3 linked regions of the Bombyx mori genome follow. The protein of the gene in region 1 purifies or fractionates together with the protein of each later gene. This does not show direct contact. Links are inferred from orthologs where the notes say so. Each region holds a gene or a part of one and is shown on either strand. Other genes may lie near its edges. The genes, in order: serine/threonine-protein kinase PRP4 homolog, U4/U6 small nuclear ribonucleoprotein Prp31 and U4/U6.U5 tri-snRNP-associated protein 1.

Region 1 (3,763 bases):
CAATCAACAAATATACAGTATAATTCATAAGCCTATTTGGACATATTGTATTGAAGTATGGGGCACACCCTATATATAATGTATAATATCTAAGGGTATAAAAGTATAATTACTGGTGGTCGGACCTCTTGTGAGTCCACACAGGTAGATACTACTACCCCGCCTATTTCTGCAGTGAAGCAGTAATCCGTTTCAGTTTGAAGGGTGGGGCAGCCGTTATAACATACTGAGACCTTAGAACTCATATCTCAAGGTGAGTGTCAGCATTTACGTTGTAGATATTAATGGGCTCCAGTAACCAATTAACACCAGGTGGGCTGTGAGCTCGTCCACCCATTTAAGTACTTAATATAAAAAAATATATATTTTGGGACAAAGAAATATATTTGATGGTTCATCAAAACATAGGAGATCTATGAAATCTTTGAGCTGCCAATGGTCAAGAAATGATAAAAATGCTATTGGCCCCACAAGCCACAATTGTAAAAATATCCTAAACAGCTTGCATGTTTGCATATTTGATGAAAATACCCATCCGGAACTGGATGACTACATAAAAAATAAGGTAAGGCTCTGCTGGGAGTACTCTAATACCTAGCACACTATCTCATCTACATATAGTCCACACAACTAAGGGCATAATAAAGAGATAATATAATATATATGTGCATAATAAATTATATATTAATGATAGAAACTTGTATAAATAATATATAAGTTTCTATCAGTTATCTATTATATAAGTTTGGGCTCAGAGCCTCCCTTGTGTTAAATAGTAGCAGGTAACTTTCCTCAAATGTTTGAATGTATGTATGTAATTATACATTTTATCATACGTTTATAATAGGTAGTAATAAACTTTTGTATTTTTGATATAAAAAGTTTATAGCAATACTTAAATAATTAATAAATTATTTTTAGAATTTTTTTTTTATAGGAAGTGAATTTAAAAAGTTGTTATTTTCACTTTTTATCCTACTCAGTACATTTGTATGTAATGGAATTTTTCATTTAAATTTTCACTAACTTGAAAATTAAAACATGCATTAAACTCTGGTGACAACCGTATCGCTTGGACTTTTATTCCTATAAAAAGTAAGGATAATAATTTAGATAACAAAGTACTGGTCAAGCTGATTAAAGTGTATTACAAATAAAAAGCAATCTGCTTACTACCAAGGATGGCCCAAGTATTAATCAACACTATAATCAATGGCGGATCCAGGGGGGGGGTCATGGGGGTCATGACCACCTCGTGAGCTGGTTCCAGGACTTAGGTGGACAACTAATTGAATATAATGATTTTATTTATATATTTTGTCACCATACAGATTTTATGTAACTACATACCTTCAATATTTAATTAATTAAATATAATAACTTTGTATAATGGCAAACGCTTGGGAACGAACGCATCTAAATTTGACTATGTGACCCCCTCCTGGCGCCAAAGCTGGATCCGCCCTTGACTATAATAAACTGAACACAAACTTTCAACAGTTTAAAAGACTTTCACAATAAATTGTATCTCCTTTGATTTTACAATCAGTAAATAGAGCAAGCTCCACGTTTAATTTTTCCAAGTATATGGTTCTAAGCGCTTCTCCGGTTAGTAAATGTAATCTCATGACAACTGGTCCTTCTCTGGACTGTAGATTTTATTGGGGCCAATAACAGTTTTATAATTAATTATATTATATTATTTAGTTTTATGATTATTGCTCAATAAGCACATAAAATGACATCAATTTTGCAAAATAAATAAAACGATTTTTAAATAATGTATCACTGACGAGAAATTTTCATTGAAACTGCTGTCTTCAGAATTATTAACCTTAAAATTTTGTAACTTGGAAATACAAATTTTGCTAAAAAAAAATTGCTTCTTGATGTCACTTCAAATATATGGATGTCCTTATTTGTAACCCATTTTCTAATTATATGCTTAATGACTGATTAAACTACACTTTGTGAAAAAAAGTACTTTTGATAATATAAATCACGAAACTCTATAAAGAGTTCACTGATGTTTTTGAAAACGGAATTCATATAATCAGTGGTGAAAATGCTTTCGCTGTGCGCTTTAAGTTCACTGAGATTCGCAAACTTTTAAAACATTTCGTTCGAAGCGTTCCTATTCTTTTTTTTTTTTTTGTTAATGATATTATTATCCAGAAGATAACAATAGCGTTTTGAGAGACAATTCGCTAAGAATGGGAATAAACTTGATTTTTCTAAACATACCGCTATTCCCGTTGCAATCTTTCCAAAAAACAAACTAAATTACGAAAAAATCCAAACATTTGTGGGCATTGTTTCACAGACAAATAGTTCGATAAACTTTGAATAAATTCAATAATAAAAATGTGTGAACTGTACAGTAACTTAGAGAAAATGTATTTCTATTTAGCTTTAAATTATTGTAACTAAACTTCACCTTTAATGAGTAGGTTACTACTATTTAAGTAGAACAAAACTATAAAATAATAAACGTGACACTCTATCTATCAAAGTATCAAACCGTCACGATTTATTTTGTTTTTACAGAGTTCCAACTGGCAATGAAATTTATTCCATAAAACCAAATCAAGGCTTATCCTATAAGTTACCAGAAATCATGTACTCTATGGTCGATTGATCTTCCTAAATTTAAAAAAAAGAATAGAAACCTTTTTTACTTATAATGATTATATACATACCTATATTTTATGTGTGTTTATTTAAATAATACGCTAGTAAAAAATACGCTAGTTTAATGGAATGAAGAATAGATAGACTTTTTAGAAGTAACGCGAGAAGTAAAGTGGTATGAATTGTTTTACTGTGTTTCTTCTTAAGCCGTTTGTCATTGGGAAAGTGAACTAGTACGGAAAGATTAAATAAAGCTATTAGACGTGGCTTGTCAGTCTCTTTCAAAAAATCTACTGAAGTCTCACTAAGTTCCCATCATTTGAACTGGGACATTTCATCACATCTCATCTCGTTTCATTTTATTTGATTTTCTTCAATTTCGTCCCAATTTATAAGTTTTATATTATAGCTTCATTACATTCTGTTATGTAAATATTCATAATTATAGACTATATAAAGTCACCAAATGCTATAGGTACTTAGAAAAAAGAAGCAAGCCATTTAAGCAATGATGCCAACTTAGGAGATTTCTCCCTAGCTTAGGAAAAAATAAATTTATAACTGTGAATGTAAATGAGACAAATTGACCCAATTAAACCACCAATTTCTACAACTATGCACTCCTATTTTCTGATTTAAAGGATAAGACCACCGTTATACAATAGAGAGACTTTGACTTTGTGTCTAAATTTTTATAAAGGAAACAAAACTAATCAAAGCGATCGATTTTGTTAGCCTTCAGTATTATGTCGAGAGTCGAATAATTGCGTGGATGATTAGTATGCAATGATCACTTTGACTGTGGAAAAACTTGCAGACCTCTTGTGCTTTGAGGTATTGAAGCTTGTTTAAAGTATCAGACGGTTTCTATAATATGAGATTAAATGTAGAATTCTTCGTTTAAAACTAAATCTTGTGTTTGTTCCGTACATTTTAGGCCTAATAGACAATACAGTAAAGTAAAGTAGGTACAATCTTTGAATCTAGATAGATTATTCTCAAGTATGTAGTGTGTTAGGGCATATAGTAAGATAGGTGATATTAATATATATATAAGTTCCAGACAGATTCCCGGGGCTTGCAGTGCGCATTACAGTATGCTATAATAAATCTATTGATTGATAGCTTTGAC
Region 2 (3,763 bases), on another chromosome or scaffold:
TAATTTTGATTTATAGTTGGCGTACTGGATCAGTCTTTTGTTCTAAACATAGACAGCGAAACTGAAGGTATTCTAGATATGCTGATGTATTTACATAACATAATAGATGTAGGTACGGCGTTGGCGTTATTGCGAGTGCTATACATTATTACGATTGGCACGCCCTCCTCTCGACCGATGTTAACCGCCACATCTGTTCTTCAAGTCAGTGTCTCTCAAATTTTATTTATTTATTGTATAAATTTAACACTTTTAAAGATATTCATGTATCTACCTACGGGTCGATGTCGTTTACTAGTTTAAAAATTAAACCGATGTCTAGCATCGAAGAACGGAGACACGAGTTATAATTAATTTTATTTGTTCCAGTGTCCATTTGCTCGACATCTCTGATCATCTGTTTAATGTTTATTTTAATAGTATTCAGTTTAGTGTTTATTTTAATAGCCCTTAAATAACATGAATGAATATTAATATGGACGTTTCAATGGCACGGATAACACAGAACCTCCAAATGATCATCGTTATTACTATTACCCAATTACGTTTAAAGTGTTTCAAATAATCTACTCGCATTAAATATTAAAATTAATCGTAAAATCGGATCTTCTTATTCTTTTTTGCCTTTCGCGGTTGAAACGATGGGCCCTTGGGGCCCTGAAGCAAAGAAATTTTTGTCAGAAATCTCCAAACGCTTGAAGGAGGCTACACGTGATGCTAAGGCTAGCTGATATTTTGCACAGAGAGTGAGTCTGGCTGTCCAACAAGGTAACGTAGCCAGTATCTTGGGAACTGTGCCTCCTTCAAGCGCATTGGAAGATTTGTTCTACTGTGTGAGTTAATTTAAAAATTAAAGATAAACATTAGACAATTTTTTTTTTATCATAATTACTATTTATCGTAAAATAACTAACATTCATTTATAGTAGATATTTCTTTTTTCATTCAATTGACATGTTTATTAAGCTAACATAGTTTCTAAGGAAATGTTTAGGAAGCTTCGCCGTAACCGATTCGAATCAGCAAAACATTATGCCCTCTCGTCTCTCTTACAGCGATGCTCTTAAGATATCCTTTTATAGGGTTATTGAAGAGAAAACTTTGAAGTTTGATCTGTAAACTAAACTAAACAATGATTGCTCTTGTACGCATATCTAGATATTTATTATTACCTCGATGAGCAGATAAGCTCTCTCAGCCCACTCGGTATTAAATGGCACAGCTCATAGGCATCAAAATGTCATTACCCCCCTTGACATACTGTCGAAGTATCAATTTTATTGCATAACGGCATTGGCAAAGTACAAACTGAAACGCATGATGTTTTGGTGGTAGGTACCCGTAGAGAGTACACCCTGCCCACTAGTAATTATGCAAATTTTCCTGCGATTCATGTTATCTATACTAATATATAATAAAACTGAACCATGCATCCGATTGACTTGAAACTTGGTATCCATGTAGAAAATACATGTACTTAATGGATAGGCTAATATTTATATGAGTGTTGGACTCCCTAGTGACTCCTCCGTTAGTGATGAGAATCTTTGTGGGGTTGAGAAATAATAACGTTAATTTTAAATGCCCAGCGAAACAGGCGGGTACAGCTAGTGTGATATATAATGAGCATATTTCTTTAAAAAATCCTACCCATCTGCAGGATTTGTGCCCCGGCAAAGTCGCATCTCGTGGCTATTCTTCTTCTAGCTTCTATAACGTCAGAAACTGTTTTATTGATTATAATGATTACATACTGTACACTGTCCATATTGTACAATTATCATAATAAGAAAATGAAGCAACATGATATAGAGGAAAACATTGAATAGATTGTGCTGTAATCAGTGGTAATTGCAGTACTTGTCACAGCTTGTGCCGATATATACGAGTAGTACTATTCATGAGTTTCGTCGTTGATTACGCGTAATCTCAAGCTTTTCTGATTGCATAAAAAATTGGTTGTCTGTAAAGTCGGTTTACGGACGATAGTTTTACGTGATAACGTCATAAAGAAACATTGCATGAATTTTATGAATTTAATTGAACGTTTATAGGTAACTGAATTATTATTATTTTGTATAATACAAAAAGGTATTATTTTCGATTATTTTTATTTTCGTTAAATTAACGCTTGGGCCGATCGTGCGTCTCTATCGCTTGTTCCGCGCTCTCGCTTGCACGCTCAGTCTCAAGCGGAACGTGACACTTTTTCGAGCGTGCAGCCGGTGTTCATCGATTTATAAGATGTTATTATCGTGTCAAAAACGTACAGAAGTATGTTGTATATTTGATTGAGCCTAGTACAAAACAAAACATTAATTGTATAAGTTTTGAAGGCAAAAGTAGACGATTGGTGCGGGTTAATAAGCGATCTGACAAATTTAATATAAAAATAAAATCCGTTTTATGAATTTGTAAACTTTTGTAAATACAAATACACGAATGTTGGTCTCAGAGTTGTGTAGTTGTGTAATTGCTTCTTTTTTTTATACGAACCTATTTTTTAGTTGAAATCGTCAACGAAGTTTATAGTACTTTAGTTTCTTAAACTGTCCATGCCTGATTCGTGTGGATGAACCCTTTGAATGGCGATAAAATCGATGACGTTATAGAAACAAAATATAATAAAAGGATTTAAAAAACCAAACCTCAACAAAATGATATGCACCACGAACAGGCAATTTACCGGACAAACCAAGTCATTACTTACTTACTTTGTACTATATATTCTTGCCCACTGAGTTTCTCACCGGATCTTCTCAGTGGGTCGCGTGTTCCGATCCGGTGGTAGATTCAGCCAAGCACTGCTCTTACTAGGGCCTGTGTTAGCAACACCTCCTGGTTTGAACTCCGAGAGCTCACGTACACGCTAGGGTAACGCTGATTGATATAGCCTCAATGCTATCAGCATAGGTAGGGAGAAAAAATGTAGGCAGTTCTAATATTGGGCAGTCGAATTCTTATTATAACTATATAAATTGATATACCACGAAAGCTAAAGTACATATTATTATGCATATGGTCACTGGTGGTAGGACCTCTTGGGAGTCCGCACGGGTAGGTACCACCACCCCGCCTATTTCCGCCGTGAAGCAGTAATGCGTTTCGGTTCGAAGGGTGGGGTAGCCGTTGTAACTATACTGAGACCTTAGAACTTATATCTCATATATCTATGTCTAGGAATGAGATCTAGCTGTCAAACGTGGTAAGAAGTTTTATATAAACCTGCTTCTTTCTAACGCGAAGCAATCGGGTGTTCCAATTTGCTGGGATAACCATTATTATAAGTAGAATACCGATTAATATATTCCAATTCAGAGCTCCAACTCTTTCTTTTTCGATTTCGTATTTTTAGTGCGGGCAGTGGCATTCTCGCTGTGGATTCTTAAGGGCTTCGGTAACCTAGTGACATAGGTTGGTCGTGAATTTATCGAACATTAACACACATTCCTGACCTATTGATCATGATCGTGTAGTAAAGAAAATCATATTGACATGAATGATTAACTTCCAGTGTTATTTATTGTCTTACGGATAATTCCAATTAGCATTACGTTTTACGTTCATTGCTTTTAAAGACATTTATCTTCAATGTACTTACTTGGTCGCAATTCGACCCGAAAAACAATATTTAAAGTAAAAATGAAATAATCACTATAGGTATAATTGTTCACAGGGTTTGGAAATCGTCAATCCTCAAGCCGCAGAAACTAGGACCAACGAAGGCAATGCCAAGTATTTCTCTAATACATCCGGGTTCTTA
Region 3 (2,700 bases), on another chromosome or scaffold:
CATAAGATAAATTTAATAGGTATATTATAGCAAAATTACCCACTGCTTACAAACTTTTAAATAGATTGATCTGTATCTGTCTATGTAGTGGAATTAATTACAAGTGTCAAGCCCCAACAAATAAATAATTTCACTTAGGAACTTTAAATTCTTTTTTATTGCGTTGATAAATTAACGTATTATATTAAAGTCATTAACAAATCAACATCAAGGTACATATAGCTTTTATTAATATTGTGTTCACAGTTGTCTTCCGACCGCGATCACTAACTAAAACTTGCTGTTTAAGTGTGAGTTCTACTATGGTTTTAATCCATTCACAGATGATGGTAAATTCAAAGATGACCTTGGCGAGTTCTACCATAAGCCGGCTACTAATATCACTGAACAGAAGAAAACAGAAAAACTCAAAGAGAAAATAAAAGAGCGAAAGGAGAAGAGGAATATTGAAGAGAAGTATGAAATACTATATTTTTGTTCCATTGATTGGCTTGAATTTTTTGATATTATTGTAATAAACGATAAAATATTACATTATATTGAGGAATAAGTACTGTTTGAATAAATGATCATCATAATAAGAACCAAATGAAATAAACTGGAAATTAATAAAAAAAAATTGTAATATAATGCATAATTTCATTTAGATTACAGACTACCCTACTCGGTGAAGGGTCTGACGATGATGACGCGTCGGCCTGGGTGAAGCGCTCCAGAGCAATAGAGACGCAGAAGAAAGAAGCTGCAAAAAGGGTGAGCATACAATAAATGCATTTTTTAGCTGCTGAGAACAAAAATCAAAAATCAATAGTTTTATCAGTTTAGATCCATGACCTAAACACCACAGAGACAACATAAGATATTAATGTGAAGCATGTGTGTACGCAGGCGGCCATGCTGGACGAGATGGACGCGGCGTTCGGCGTGTCCGCCCTGCTGCCCCCCCGCGCGCCCCCCGCGCCCGCCCCCTACCGCGCGCCCAGCCTGCGGGGGCTGCGGGTCGCGCACCAGCTCGATGCGGTACTCACACCTTCCCACCCCCCATATATTAATGGGAATACCAGCAGGCTATTTGATTTTGTGGTCATCCAAAAAATTTAATAAAATGCGAAATAATTTAGTTCTGTACTAATCACAGGTTGGTTTAAACTTTGAGCATTTCAATCACGCGTTGATTATTTTCGTTTCACGATTTCTAATCTCGTGGCGACCACACGTGTTAGTTCTAAATACTACATGAAACAAAAAAATCTGTATTAATAGATCTATAATCTGTACAGTTGGAAGATGAACGTGAAACCATTCTAACGTTGGCTGATAAAGAAATATTAGCTGAAGACCCAGAGGATGTGCTCATCAATGTCAATATTGTTGACAACGAGCGATACAAGAAGGTAAGATAACTGTTTTTACTATTTTACTTACATACATCAGTCAGTGAAAGACCATAATAAATGATATAATGGGTTTTGTTCAGAACGTGGAAGAACGCAAGAAGGCGCGCGCCGGCTACCAGGCTTACGACGAGGAGGCCGAGCTGCAGGCCTCCCTCGGCTTCCGACGCTCCGTCCTCTCCAAGTACGACGAGCAGATCCAGCCCGACCAACTCGATAAGGACAAGGGCTTCGTCATAGGGGACGAAGCCTCTCTCGACGCTCACAGGCGCAGAGAGCTCTTGGTGAGGCCCGCGTCACGTCGCATCACGCCGCGTCACGCCACGCAGCGTCACGTCACGCCGCGTCACGTCACGTGGCGGTGCGTTAACGTAACTGTGTATGTGCAGCTCGCGCAAGGCCCCGCCTCTCGCCGCATGGAGTCGCTTGCGCTGCCGCAGCCGCAGCTCGCAGCCGACTACATGGACCAGCACGAGATCCAAGCCAAGTTCAAGAAGACTAAGAGAAAGGTCAGTGGCCCCGCTCGTCGAGCGTCGCGCCGGCGCGGGCGGACCCGTGTGTACGTGTGTGTTTGTGTGCAGGGCAAGATGCGGACCAAGCCCAAGGACGAGCCCATCGACGCGGACACCTACGACGCCGCCGCCGCGCCACTCGACACCGACGACACAGGTCTGACGCGTCCTCCAGTCTTATATATATGTAGTAGTTTAATCTCACGTTTGCATGATCATCATATTATTTCAGCCCCGTTTCGAATAGTTTGTCGCCGCTGTGTCGGCGCGCCCTGCTCGTCCGCATTTAATGAATTATTAAAGTTCTTATAAAAACTCGATACATAACATACATATTTTTTTATAATTTACATAATTCTGATTATTTCAAACTTTACAACAATCCTGTTCCTTATCGACCTAAAAATGTAAGTAAAAGCGGGCTGTGCCCTAAAAACTAGTTATCAATCGACCTGTCGTCCCCTCCGCAGACGTGCGGGCGGGGGCCGCGGCGCTGGTGGTGGACGAGGAGGAGACGGAGCCCGACACCGAGCTGCACGCCGCGCTGGCCAGGGCGCGCCGCCTCAGGCTCAAGGAGGTGCAAGATGCCGCTGTGCCTAAGGTATCTTATATATTTCATAGATTCAAAGGTTCACTGGTAATAATATAATCGCATTTGAATGTCATTAAAAAAAATATTTATTAGATAAACAACTGTCGATAGTAAAATGTTTGCCGTGAAGGGTCACCTGCTACACCCGCCTGACTCTATTTTTTGTTGTACTGAGTGCCTGATGTCGTAAATAGGTTTAGTT

Evidence for each region.
Region 2: the proteins of serine/threonine-protein kinase PRP4 homolog (region 1) and U4/U6 small nuclear ribonucleoprotein Prp31 purify together in Homo sapiens (affinity purification with mass spectrometry; 3 studies listed by BioGRID and IntAct, with this or other methods). This does not show direct contact. The link is inferred for Bombyx mori from reciprocal best matches to the Homo sapiens genes PRP4K and PRPF31.
Region 3: the proteins of serine/threonine-protein kinase PRP4 homolog (region 1) and U4/U6.U5 tri-snRNP-associated protein 1 purify together in Homo sapiens (affinity purification with mass spectrometry; 3 studies listed by BioGRID and IntAct, with this or other methods). This does not show direct contact. The link is inferred for Bombyx mori from reciprocal best matches to the Homo sapiens genes PRP4K and SART1.

The regions. Positions count from the first base shown.
Region 1 is NC_085107.1:3,226,784-3,230,546, forward strand, and holds the start of serine/threonine-protein kinase PRP4 homolog, read right to left. Parts: upstream 2,582-3,763; 5' UTR 2,438-2,581; exon of another isoform or gene 2,245-2,437; intron 1-2,244. UniProt on the Homo sapiens protein: Serine/threonine kinase involved in spliceosomal assembly as well as mitosis and signaling regulation. Connects chromatin mediated regulation of transcription and pre-mRNA splicing.
Region 2 is NC_085116.1:12,759,560-12,763,322, reverse strand, and holds part of U4/U6 small nuclear ribonucleoprotein Prp31, read left to right. Parts: intron 1-3,676; coding exon 3,677-3,763. UniProt on the Homo sapiens protein: Involved in pre-mRNA splicing as component of the spliceosome. Required for the assembly of the U4/U5/U6 tri-snRNP complex, one of the building blocks of the spliceosome.
Region 3 is NC_085118.1:17,269,019-17,271,718, forward strand, and holds part of U4/U6.U5 tri-snRNP-associated protein 1, read left to right. Parts: intron 1-323; coding exon 324-456; intron 457-647; coding exon 648-753; intron 754-888; coding exon 889-1,020; intron 1,021-1,280; coding exon 1,281-1,394; intron 1,395-1,477; coding exon 1,478-1,678; intron 1,679-1,783; coding exon 1,784-1,903; intron 1,904-1,975; coding exon 1,976-2,063; intron 2,064-2,376; coding exon 2,377-2,507; intron 2,508-2,700. UniProt on the Homo sapiens protein: Plays a role in mRNA splicing as a component of the U4/U6-U5 tri-snRNP, one of the building blocks of the spliceosome. May also bind to DNA.